Drosophila melanogaster: one gene and its partner. The protein of the gene in region 1 binds, or shares a complex with, the protein of each later gene. Each region holds a gene or a part of one and is shown on either strand. Other genes may lie near its edges.

Region 1 (6,940 bases):
GCCTTCTGTAGTCGTTCCAGTTGCTGCTCGTCCAGCTGGTCGCGCGGCAGCTTCCCCAAACGCTGCACCGTTCGCTTCCAGTTGTGGAACTCACGGTTTTTAAAGGGCTTCATGGCCATACGGTACTCCTTCCACTGGCGCTGGCGCTCCTCCTTCGTACCAGGCGGTGCATCCTCGAGCGGCGGTGGTGCCTCTGGCTTCTGTATCCATTGGCCATTGACCTGGACAAATGTGCCGCAGCGCTTGGGCTTCTTGGAGGGCTGCGCTTCCCCGTTTGACGGCGAATTGTTGCCATTGCTTGGCGGTGGGGGCGGAGGCATAAGCCTCGTATCTTTGTCACTGTTGCCGCGATGGTTTACCTTGAATTTCTTGTTATTCTGGTTTGGATTGCTGCGATTGTTTTGTGCTCCCTGCTCCTTGGGTACCAGATTCCACAAGCTGGGGCACTTGGGCATGGGCGGTTGGATTGGTGGTGGTCTATGTTGTGGCGACATCATGTCCTCCCAGAACGGAGGCGGCTGCAGAGGTCGGTGATTGTGATTCCGGCGGGGCCCAGAACCACGTGGTCCTCCAAAGCCCACTGGACCACCGGGGCCCATACTGCTCATGGGACCACAGGGACCCATATTGCTTATGGGACCGCGAGGTCCTCCTGGTCCCATTGGCCCCATGGGGGGACCGCATTGTCCGGGTCCAGGCCCAAAATTGCCTCCAAAGCCCATGTTCATCAGCTGCATAGGAAGTGGAGGCGGTCGATTCATCGGAGGATAGTTCCTGTCCTGGTAGCTTTGCGGACCTCCGCCTCCATGAAAGGCATTGTTGCTATTCGAAGACCAATGTTTACGTCCGTTGCCGTTGTTGTTATTGTTGTTGTTGTTACTATTGTTATTGTTGCTCCGTTGTAGTCCGCTTTTGGTATCCGGTTTCAGTGCATCCTTGCATTTCTTCCAATCTGCAAACGACATTTTCAGCGGCTTAGTTTCAGGCTCATCTTTGCCGGACTCCGGAACGACTTCCTTGGAATCCTCTGGTGCCGCCTCCACGTCCCCGTTTTCAGACATCTCGCACCTTAGAGAGTGGGAATACACTTTATAAATATATCAACTTAATTTTATTTGAGTTTTGCTTAGCGATGGCAAACAAAAATTTCAATAACAACAAATTGAAGGAACAGCCGATGTTTTCTATCGATATTTTCGTGCTTAAAATTTTAGGGAGTTTCCCCTGAAGTATTTTCTTAAGAGTCCTGTTGTTCTTAAAAAAGAACAGTAGTTTCCAAATGTATTCTCTAAACTTTCCGCTATACCAGTAAATCTTCATTTGTTAACTAGTAAGCGATATATTAATGCCCAACGTAATATAATATATATTTAACATTTTCGATCCCATGCAGACACAACCGGCGGGGAATAGTAATTGCCCAGCGTCCAGATACCATAGTGAATTGTTGGTTATCAGCGATAAGTGTCTGATTTCGTAACATTTATTTCATATTTAAATTTAAATTTTAATACGAACACATCTGTGATGCGAAATTGATGTGAGCTTTTTGACTGCGCTTTACGTGAACTGGTCTGGATAGCTGTGGCGCATCTCTAAAATCTAACGTGTTCGATCAGGTGGCAACACCCACCGTAAAAAACGATTTTAGTCGCAGTCGCAGAGATTTTGGTTTTGGTAAGCTCTAGTAATTTATTGGAAATTACGATCCAAAATACACCGTTTTAAGAGACGTTTCAATCGGCCATTAAAGTAAATAATAAGCGCGACGAAGACTAAACATCAAAAGTGTTGAAACTAGAACGAGAGTGCAAAGTCGGTCGCCAGCAAAACGCGTAGTTTGCTTATTTTAACGAAAAGCGGCCAGTGCCATTAAAATATTACTCAATTTCACAGAGAATTTTGGCCGAAAACGGATGCAATATATGGATATATAGACCCTGTTTCCTGAAAGTTAACTTCCTTTTTGTTCTACGCCCAACACGGTCGTCAACTGCGCTGCCATCGTCGACGTCGGCAGAGGCCATTCTTGTTGTTGCTATTCTCGACATATGATTCAATAGAGCGATCGCCTCTCTCTTTCTCCCTCCCACGGACAATTTCAGTTTTTTGTAATATTTCTGTTAGCTGTGTTTTAGTTGCCCATGTTTGTTTGTTCTTGTTGTTGTTGCTGCTGCTGCTGTTGCTGCAGCGGCAGTAAGTGATATTTAAAAAAGAAATGAGTTGTTCGCATGGAGCGAAAGTCGAACTGAAATAACACAAATGGTCGTCCGTTTGTCGTTCCCATTCGATATATGCCAACAATTTTCATCAATTATTTACATATTTTGCTTTTGGAACTTCGCACCGATTAACTGAGCAGAAGCCAGAAGCTCAGAAGGCGCCAATGGGTTAATTTGGCCACTAAACTATAGATAAATCGCGGTGTTATCAGCTAAAGCCGCTTATCAAACGTGCACATCGTTAAGATATACGAGAGCTTTGCGTCGCAATATTCGAGATTCGGTCGGAAACGAGGCCAATCTCCATATCCTAAGAAACCTTTTGGTTGTCCATGCTCTCGGCCATTACTCCCAAGTTCTAATGCAATATAGTCGGCTTTGATCATCCTAGCAGCTGAAAGCATGTATCCAAATAGTACAATAGTTTTAATGTAAACAATACATTTGATCGATAACTAACCTTTCTTGTGTTTACAGGGGGAGGTGCGGAAACAGCTTCTACGATTCATTTTTGATCAATTCTTCAACAACATTTAAACGAACGAATAAGTTAGCAGACCATATAGACTGAAATCAGCAGATCCGGACACCAGGCGGGACAACCTTAAGACTTCTTCACGAGACGATATCGAATCCAACGAATCCCGAGAATGGCTCACACACACCTGGGACGCGCCGTGAAAAACATTGAGGCGCCACGCCCGTTGAAGACACAATCGCGATCGTCGTTGAAGAACAGCTACCTGGTGATCGAGGAGCTAATCCAGTTGATAGACAACGTGACCGTCGGTCTTCAGTCGTGCAACACCACGCCGGAATCGATCACGCTGCTCCTGCACAACCTCCGGGTGCATGGACCGCAACTGGAGGCGGTGTCCAAGGATACACTGGACCGGGCCTTCGTCGTTTTCCGCAACGCTTCGCAGGACGAACGGCTGAATATAACGACGCGCCTCAAGCTGCTCGAACTCATCGAGCTGCGCGCCAAGAGCTGGGACAATGACGACACAATCGCGTACTACAAGTCCAAGCAGCAGATCTCCAACGTGGAGGTGAGTAGAGTACATAGAATCGATCTCACTTTGGAAAACGATCAAATATGTATCGTTGCTTTGCAGCTGCCTTCGGAATACCAGTACGATGCCGGCGTGCAGCCTGGCGCCTTCAGCACCTCCCCCACATTCGGCGTCAGCGGCGGTGTTGGTGGCGTTAACGATGGAGCCGCAGCCGCCGCTGCCGCCGTCTTCAATGCAGCATCTGCAGCTGCAGCCGCCCAAGCTGCGGCCATTGCGGCCGTGGGCACATCCAACCAGCAGCACATGCTGCTGCCGCCCGGTGAGGTCATTCGTAATTCGGGCAAGTTCCCCAAACCGACCAAGATTCCTGGCAAGACGTACTGCAAGGACGAGGTCGTGATTCGCAATGCTGACTCCGGCAAAGGTAAGTTTTTCAATCAGCTGAGGAGTGTTCTGGAGCACACAGATCTACAGAAATGGTTTTCAATAATGTATTCCTCCATTCCCGTGGCCAAAAAGTAATGGGCATCAAGGGGCGTCGCGTGCACATGATCGAGGAGCTAAGCGAAACCATTATATCGTTTCAAAGAGGTAACTCCAGAGAGCTGGTTTTAATTGTGATCCTCACCGCACCCCCATTTCATTTGGCACGCTTATTTAAATCAATTAATGCCCGGTGGCTTCTACAAAATTTACTAATAGAAATTATAAATACGCATGTTCCAGATTTTGTCCATTCAACGACACCACATTAAGCCAAAATTGATCGTTAAAGGCATTTTGAAATCACATATTTTCATACTGTATATATGCATTTTGTTTTTAAATGTTTTCGCATCCCAATTATTTTTCATAAATATAAATGCTTTTTTCGAGAACAATTATGAATGCCTTGTTTTCATTAGTCAACCCGGGTGCCAAGGAGCGTTTGGTGCAGATTACTGGTCCAGCTGAGGATAAAATTAAGTGAGTAAAGTAAATAAATTAAAGCTAATTTACCTTTATGTCAAAATGTTTTAATTCTACGACAGCTATGCCAAACAACTTATGGAGGACACCATTCGTCGGAACGCCTCGCCGGTGCGCCTGGAACCCGCTCCTGCCGTTGGAGGATCCTGCTCCTCGCTTAACTCGTCCAACTCGGACGACGCCATTGTGCAACCAAGAACGCCAACCGGAAGCAGTTTGGCCAACCGGCTAAGCTTTAACTCGGCCCAAAACTTCATGACCGCCACAGCTGCTGCACAGCAGATCTCGCAGCAGATGCACCACCAAACGCATCACCTGCAGCACCAACAGCAGCAGCAGGTCGCCGCAGTAGCCGCCGCAGCAGCAGCGGCGGCACATGCTCAGGCGACAGCCGCTGCCGGTAAAGTCTTGCGTCCCAATCAACAGCTGCTAATGCACTCATATTCCACAAACGATGCTTCCGTAGGTGAATACAAGTTCACGGTCAACGTGGGCCAGCACCTGATCAAGATCACCGGCGACTGCTGCGAACTAGTGCGCGTGAGTAATGTTGAAGTTTTCAATTGTGAAATTTGTTAAATCCCCTGCGATTTCAAGGTGGCCAAACTCGTGCTCGATGACTATTTTAGCAGCTCGGAGTTTCTGGCATCCATTGAGGCTGGCGCCGCCTTCGACGGCACTTCGCTGGTGACCACGCCATCGACTCCGCTTCCCGGAGCCGGGCCGCCGCAATTTTGGCTGCCCGGCACGGACAGTGGCATTGGACTGAATTGCGTTGTTTCCTCGTCAGCGAACAACAATGGTGAAGGCGACGACGAGGTGTTCGCTGAGCCCAGCAATGGAGGATCATCGACTAGCAATCAGAATGGACTGGCCAGATCGCGTCGCAGCCACTTTTCGCGCAAGGAGTCCACGCCGGAGACCAAGGGCGCTCGGGAAAAGGGTGACTTGGACGATTTGGCAGGCACCAATTCCTTGAAAAGCAATGCATGTAAGATTACAATCCTTTTATGCTTAACCAAGTCTTTGATGCTTAAACTTAAATTACAGCTCGCGTTTCTTACGATATTGAACACTTGCTCTACTACTCCATGAGTCCGCACTCGTGGACCCTGCCCACCGACTGGCAAAAGATGCAGGAGACAGCGCCCTCGATTCTGCGCAACAAGGTAATTTCGCCGTTCGATGGCTCACTTGGCCGTACGGCTTACTCTTCGAACATCCCCGATGCTATCATCGCCAGTGCACCTAACTCATCAGTAATAACACATCCGTGGGCTTTAAATGCAATAACCTCCTCCCCGAACACAAATATCATCAGCACCGCCGTTGGACTAGCTGCTGTCGATGCGTCGGCAGACAACAATCCCCTAACCGTCACTAACAAGCAATCAAAAGGGATCTTCGCCGAACGCGAGAACCGTCGCCTTCCCAAAACATCGGCCGTGTCCGATCGAAACCTGTATAACAAGCAATTGCAAATCATAACTAATACTGTGGGTCAATCGGTGGCAACACAAGGAAAGCATCGCCAGTCTAGCTATCAAACATCACAAGTGAAGGCAATTTTTCAACGCTACTGCGAGGACGATGAGTTTTCATTGGCACTGTGCGAAACAGAATCGAATAATAACCGCGTTTATGTGTAATTTCATTTAATTTCATTTAATTTAATTTAATTTTACGTAGCCGGAATACGTATTATTGAATCTCAGTCACAGATAGGCTTTTCTTTTCATGTCAGTATTTTTGCTGTTTTAATTTTATATAACTTATCATTAAGAAAAGGTGAAGCGTGAAGAACTTGATAATGAATCAAGTCAATACATCATTATCATTATCATCATCCAGTCATTAGATTAACGACATACCATCGAAACCAAACCGATCGCTAGTCTTAGAGGTAACAATACATATAATGCATTGAAATTAAAATGTAACTATAGGGAGAATCTGTGTTTTGGCTGTGAAACAGATTAAGTCGTCGCTAAGGATAAGCTGGAAAGGCGGTTGAAACCGCTTAACCGCTAACAAACAAACATTCTCGAATTCAAACCAACATTTACAAATCTGTAATCAATACGATTTATATTAACTAATAAACAGGACTTTCAAAGTCCGTAACAAAGCTTGGCTGGGTTTAACTTACACCACCACACACCCCACACATTGTAAATTATAAATTGTAACTTGTGTTTTACCACCGAAGCATCATAACATCACCACCTAACCACCACTCCAGATGGCTAACTTAGTTACTAAACTGTTCCGTATGTATATATGTTCGTTCATCCCTGGATAGCTTGCGTGTCAATGTTACTTTGAAATCAGATATTAAACCATTTCTTTGTTCGACAACAGGATCTGCAGGATGAGAGCCAGCGCTTCGATGGTGATAAGTATCTGGCCAGCATTAAGACGGCCGCCAAGCGAGACATTGTGGCTGCCGATGAGGTCGAGACTCTGGACGAATAAAGCCATCAATCGAGCGGCTCGAACTGACAATATAGAGTGTCCCGGGGTGAAGTGCCTGCTCCCAGACGGAGCTGCAGTATGCTTCAATGCTTTTGGCCATGGCCACATCTAACAATCGCAAACTCAAAACGACCAAAACAAAACAAACAAAAAAAAAAGAATATTGAAAAATATGCAAACTAACCCTAGAAATTACCAACGAAATAATCAAAAATTTCAAAATAACTAGAAAATTCAACGAAGCTCTTAGTTAAGTTC
Region 2 (5,458 bases), on another chromosome or scaffold:
TCGACTACGGATATATGAATATTTTCGGAGTGATGCGGAGACACCTATGGAAACATTATTAATTGTATGTATGCCGTTTGGTCAATTAGTTATCTAATAGCTTTGTGGTCTACCCATCTATTGTTGACTGCCACAGAACCCTTTTCGAAACGATTCAAGTGGCATTTTCAGCGCTCGTTGGCTGTCAGTTTCGAGTATCTTAAAGATACTTTTTTGACCAATCGGAATTCATTGGTTCAGTAAGCATATTCGGCGACTGGGTGTCTGAAATCTGGTTTCGATCATCTTATCTTGATGGTATAACTAGCATTTAGATACCCATTTTTCTTCATAATTCTTAATTTTATTTGTTGCATAATTTATGAAAATAGTACGAAAAAGTACAATTTTTTATACAGGTTCTGTATAAGTTACAAGGTACCCATTAGTCGAAACCTTATTTATCGAACTTTATAACCTAACCACTTGACTATGATTTATTTACAATTAAGCATCTTTGAGCGCTTCAATTACTTTTTACTTCCAATTAATGCAAAGTATACTGCCTAAGGTTTAACTTTGACTCCGGGTTTCCTGTAGATCGGCGGAAGTTTTTTTGTTTAGACATGCGCCAAGCACTTGAAGTCCGCAATTGACTGCTGCATAATTAGATGCGATGCGATTGGAATAGAGGATGCGATGGGTAATCACATCAACACTTGGACAGGCGATCAAGTGTCAGTTCAATAAGACCGGCTCAAGTGTAATTAGAGACCACGGATCTTGGGTTTCGGGAAGGGATCTTGGGTTTTCGGATCATCGATCCAACGATCGTGCCGAGCTCTTGAAAGCCGCTTATTAGGCATTTACAAGGGCAACTGCGCAGTTGATCGGTTACAAAATGACTTAACTATTTAAATAATAAACACGCTTCACGTTTCTCAGGCTAAGTTCGTAAGCATCTTCAATTTTCGGATTGCGTCTCAACTGCAACAGTCTATTTTGAAAGTCAAGCGTTTCTAAAAGCGCCACATCATCAGCGGTAATATTATCCATCCCTCATAAATATTCCCATGTTGTTTTGGGATCTTTTGGCTATTTTTAAAGCAGACAAAGGCGAGCCAATAATGTGTGGAAAGAATTTTGGTTGGATTCAAATACGAAGCAGCTTTGGTAACAACTAAGGTTCTGGGTTAGTCATGATTCACCAACAGGTTAGACTTAGTTTTGTGGCAAAATTTAACCAATGACGTCCAAGTTCTAACTAAAGTAATATCGTTACTTTGTTATTTTATTTTTGGATATTCTCGAAAGTTTCTGGAATTCTCAAGAAAACTTAAACAATATAGAGTCGCATTATATGGAAAACTCATTGATTCATTCTTATGTTTGTTATTTTGTTATTAAATTCCAATTGATGATGCCAGTGTCTAAATAAAAACGAAGACCTAATTTTCAACCAAAAATCAGGTTTTCTGGGCTTGTCCGTATTAAACATTTTTGATAATTATTTATAATATATTGTTATTTTTTGCTGGCTTCAAAACATCAACAAATTGTGTATGATAAATGACGATGACGTTGTTGTTGATGGCGATCGCGCTGTGGGAATCAGATGAAATGTCAATTAAGTTTGCATTTATATCTTTGATTGAAGCTCTAAGATTTGCTTTGCCATTTTATGCGGAAGTTAAGCTCGGTCAGTTCTTGAAAAAGTTCCCATGGGAGCAAGTTATTTGTTTTTTGACAATAAGAAGCGTTTATTTAAAATGGCTTATTATGGCCTCAATGATTCCTAATAGGCGTAACTTACTGGTTATAAACTTGTTTAATATCGTTTCATTTTAAACCTGGATGACAGAAAATGAATTTCGGTTCAAATACAAATATTACAATAGAAAGTATGATATTTAGCTCCGATAAACATTTAACAATTTTAGTATTTTAATGGTGAAATGGTAAATTCCGCGCATGAAAAGAGATAGAAGAGATGACATATATGGAAACCTTAAAAACGTAACGGTTGCTTGGGTTTTATAACAATCAGTCAGTGACAGGCATTTCCAGAGTTGCCCTGTTCAACAATCGATAGCTGCCTTCGGTCGCTCGTCACTAACTTTCCTTTAGGCAACGGCCACACTGTCTGGCCACCAAAATCCCAAACTTAATTAAAGAATTAAATAATTCGAATAATAATTAAGCCCAGTAACCTACGCAGCTTGAGTGCGTAACCGATATCTAGTATACATTTCGATACATCGAAATCATGGTAGTGTTGGAGACGGAGAAGGTAAGGCGAGAAACGGCGAGCCGCATGGTTTCGATTTCGGCTGAGCCGTGGCAGGAACAACAAAAACAGGGTTGTTGCACAAGAGGGGAGGCGATAGTCGAGCGGAAAAGTGTGCAGTTGGCGTGGCTACATCATCATTGTGTTCACCGATTATTTTTTGCACAATTGCTTAATATTAATTGTACTTGCACGCTATTGTCTACGTCATAGCTATCGCTATCTCTGTCTGTCTCTATCAAGCTATCTCTCTTTCGCGGTCACTCGTTCTCTTTTTCTCTCCTTTCGCATTTGCATACGCATACCACACGTTTTCAGTGTTCTCGCTCTCTCTCTCTTGTCAAGACATCGCGCGCGTGTGTGTGGGTGTGTTCTTCTTTAGCTACATATACATAAATAGGAGAGCGGAGAGACAAATATGGAAAGAATGGAAAAAGAGTGAATTACTGCAATTAACCAGTCGCGAACAGTTAAATCATATTTTTGTCGGCCATTGCAGTAAATAAACCGTTGGCTTTCCCTCTTCACTTTCCACCTCCTTTCTTTGACGTTAATTTTTTTCAGTTAATCGCGCCGCTGCTTTGAACTCGAACACGAATTTTAGCCGCAACATAAAATAAAATCAAGTAACTCTTTTAACTCAAATATAAAACAACAATTCCAATTCTTTCAACAGGCAATCTGTGTTTTTATGTCAGATACGTGCGCGTGTGTGTGTGTGCTGTAATTCCATCGCCCCTTTCGATTCCGAGTTCGTTAGGAACAGCATTAGTTCGCCTATTTTAGTAGTAGCCTAGTCCGATTTTAAGTGAAACAGGATACTCCAACACCATATACTCAATAATTAGTTACAACACCCACTCAACCATACAGCAACAACAAGTTTAACGAGTTTTTTGTATTATCATTACTTAGTTTTTTGGTTAATAATACACAAGTGAAGAGCGAACTGCAGGGGAGCGAGATATCACGAAACAATCCAAAATCCACACACACTCAAACAGAAATCAAAAGCTTCGCTCTCTCGCACACACACGCACCAACCAACTATCAACTATCACAAACACCGCGACAGAGAGAGAGCGGCAAGTGAATCACGGCGAATCGAAACCGATCCGAACCCACTCCGGAGCCGAAAAAGAACTGATCCTACCATCAAACGCATCCAATAAACACGGCCGCCAACATGCAGAGCGACTTTCACAGAATGAAGAACTTTGCCAATCCCAAGTCCATGTTCAAAGTAATACTCTCAGTGCGCCTGTCGCTAAGCCAAGCTAATCTAATCTTCTGATTCCCCTTCCCATCCATTGCCATCTTCTCCCGCAGACCAGCGCCCCCAGCACCGAGCAGGGTCGTCCGGAACCACCAACTTCGGCTGCAGCGCCCGCCGAGGCTAAGGATGTCAAGCCCAAGGAGGACCCACAGGAGACTGGTGAACCAGCAGGCAACACTGCAACCACTACTGCTCCTGCCGGCGACGATGCTGTGCGCACCGAGCATTTATACAAACACCCGCTCATGAATGTCTGGACGCTGTGGTACCTTGAAAACGATCGGTCCAAGTCCTGGGAGGACATGCAAAACGAGATCACCAGCTTCGATACCGTCGAGGACTTCTGGAGCCTATACAACCACATCAAGCCCCCATCAGAGATCAAGCTGGGTAGTGACTACTCGCTATTCAAGAAGAACATTCGGTGGGTTTGCTGTTTATTGCAATTCTGCCAAGATAACCTTTACTAACTGATATCTCATTTGCAGTCCCATGTGGGAGGATGCAGCCAACAAACAGGGCGGTCGTTGGGTCATTACCCTTAACAAAAGCTCCAAGACCGATCTGGATAACCTATGGCTCGATGTGGTAAGTGCACAAAGAAACGAGTGGTGAGCGGATGGTCTATTTATAGTGAATGTACATTCTTGAAATGCAAAAATATAGAAATAGGTGTATGATTTTGCAATATAAATTATAACTTATAGAAAATATCAGCTAAAAATACGCTAGTGCTAGCTTTTGTCTTAGGAACATTCAATAGTGAGCTTATATCATAAATATTTTTCGCATATGAGTAACTACAACTGTTTTGCCTTCCAGCTGCTCTGCCTGATTGGTGAGGCCTTCGATCACTCTGATCAGATCTGCGGCGCTGTTATAAACATTCGCGGCAAGAGCAACAAGATATGTAAGTTTTCACGCACACCCAACTTCAGCGGAATTCCTTTGTTTAACGATTAATGCTTTCCAGCCATCTGGACTGCCGACGGAAACAACGAGGAAGCTGCCCTTGAGATTGGTCACAAGCTGCGCGATGCCCTGCGTCTGGGACGCAACAACTCGCTGCAGTATCAGTTGCACAAGGACACGATGGTCAAGCAGGGCTCCAACGTGAAATCGATCTACACTTTGTAGGCGGCTAATAACTGGCCGCTCCTTATTCGGTCCGATCCCACACTGATTATTTTGTCTTTCATTTATTTATCGTTATAAGCAACAGTAGCGATTAATCGTGACTATTGTCTAAGACCCGCGTAACGAAACCGAAACGGAACCCCCTTTGTTATCAAAAATCGGCATAATATAAAATCTATCCGCTTTTTGTAGTCACTGTCAATAATGGATTAGACGGAAAAGTATATTAATAAAAACCTACATTAAAACCGGATACTTTTGATCTTTGATTTTGGAGATATTTTAAAATAGAAAAAAGTTAACCTATATTGTTTTTGGGATAATTACTTGTTGTATTACTAAAACGAGCTTGTATCCTAATATGGGCACCTAAAGCAAAACTTCCAAATTTGGAATTCAATTTGTTGCTAAAAATACGTTAGCAATTTCTAGGGTGGCCAAAAAAAAATGTGTATCGATATATCGATAGGTTTCCTAAATAGACATTAAAATAATTTTAGCTTTTTACTTATATTGTTAGAGTAAATACGTTTGTATTTAAAAAATAAGTCAGTATTTTTTTTTTATTAACCTATTATTGAATTTTATATGAGTGAGAGCTTTTCCATTCAGCCAAGAACGGTCACACTGCATGTGACATGTTTCAATTGTGTAGGCGCAGTCACACTGGTCGCGTCGCTCGTAGATATCGTGTAAGGATATGTCTCCGTGTTTAGCTAAATAAAATACATAAAATATATGTGCAATTCTAACAAGCATAGCCATTTAGCGTAGAGTAG

Evidence for each region.
Region 2: the proteins of mxt (region 1) and eIF4E1 are in contact, whole or in part, in a crystal structure (PDB 5ABV), measured with the Drosophila melanogaster proteins. Residues at the interface, in NP_001260053.1 of Drosophila melanogaster: Val579, Ser580, Tyr581, Ile583, Leu586, Leu587, Tyr589, Ser590, Ser592, His594, Ser595, Trp596, Thr597, Leu598, Pro599, Asp601, Trp602, Lys604, Met605, Thr608, Ala609, Ser611, Ile612, Leu613, Arg614, Asn615, Leu618, Arg624, Phe625, Tyr630; in NP_001261626.1 of Drosophila melanogaster: Lys80, His81, Pro82, Leu83, Met84, Tyr91, Glu93, Asn105, Glu106, Ile107, Thr108, Ser109, Val113, Glu114, Trp117, Ser118, Leu119, Tyr120, Asn121, His122, Ile123, Lys124, Pro125, Lys130, Tyr135, Asn171, Leu174, Asp175, Leu178, Ile181.

Annotation. Positions count from the first base shown.
Region 1 is NT_033779.5:4,841,976-4,848,915, reverse strand, and holds mxt (mextli), read left to right. Parts: upstream 1-1,620; 5' UTR 1,621-1,677; exon of another isoform or gene 1,678-1,752; intron 1,753-2,151; exon of another isoform or gene 2,152-2,200; intron 2,201-2,565; exon of another isoform or gene 2,566-2,637; intron 2,638-2,699; 5' UTR 2,700-2,872; coding exon 2,873-3,274; intron 3,275-3,340; coding exon 3,341-3,662; intron 3,663-3,757; coding exon 3,758-3,829; intron 3,830-4,143; coding exon 4,144-4,204; intron 4,205-4,269; coding exon 4,270-4,747; intron 4,748-4,804; coding exon 4,805-5,198; intron 5,199-5,257; coding exon 5,258-5,856; 3' UTR 5,857-6,332; downstream 6,333-6,940. Other genes in the region: CG11927 (uncharacterized protein), read right to left, coding at 1-1,061. UniProt on the Drosophila melanogaster protein: Plays a role in promoting translation.
Region 2 is NT_037436.4:9,399,091-9,404,548, reverse strand, and holds eIF4E1 (eukaryotic translation initiation factor 4E1), read left to right. Parts: upstream 1-2,088; 5' UTR 2,089-2,245; coding exon of another isoform or gene 2,246-2,269; exon of another isoform or gene 2,270-2,632; intron 2,633-2,743; exon of another isoform or gene 2,744-2,892; intron 2,893-2,942; 5' UTR 2,943-3,452; coding exon 3,453-3,509; intron 3,510-3,595; coding exon 3,596-3,966; intron 3,967-4,030; coding exon 4,031-4,130; intron 4,131-4,364; coding exon 4,365-4,452; intron 4,453-4,515; coding exon 4,516-4,679; 3' UTR 4,680-4,931; downstream 4,932-5,458. UniProt on the Drosophila melanogaster protein: Recognizes and binds the 7-methylguanosine (m7G)-containing mRNA cap during an early step in the initiation of protein synthesis and facilitates ribosome binding by inducing the unwinding of the mRNAs secondary structures.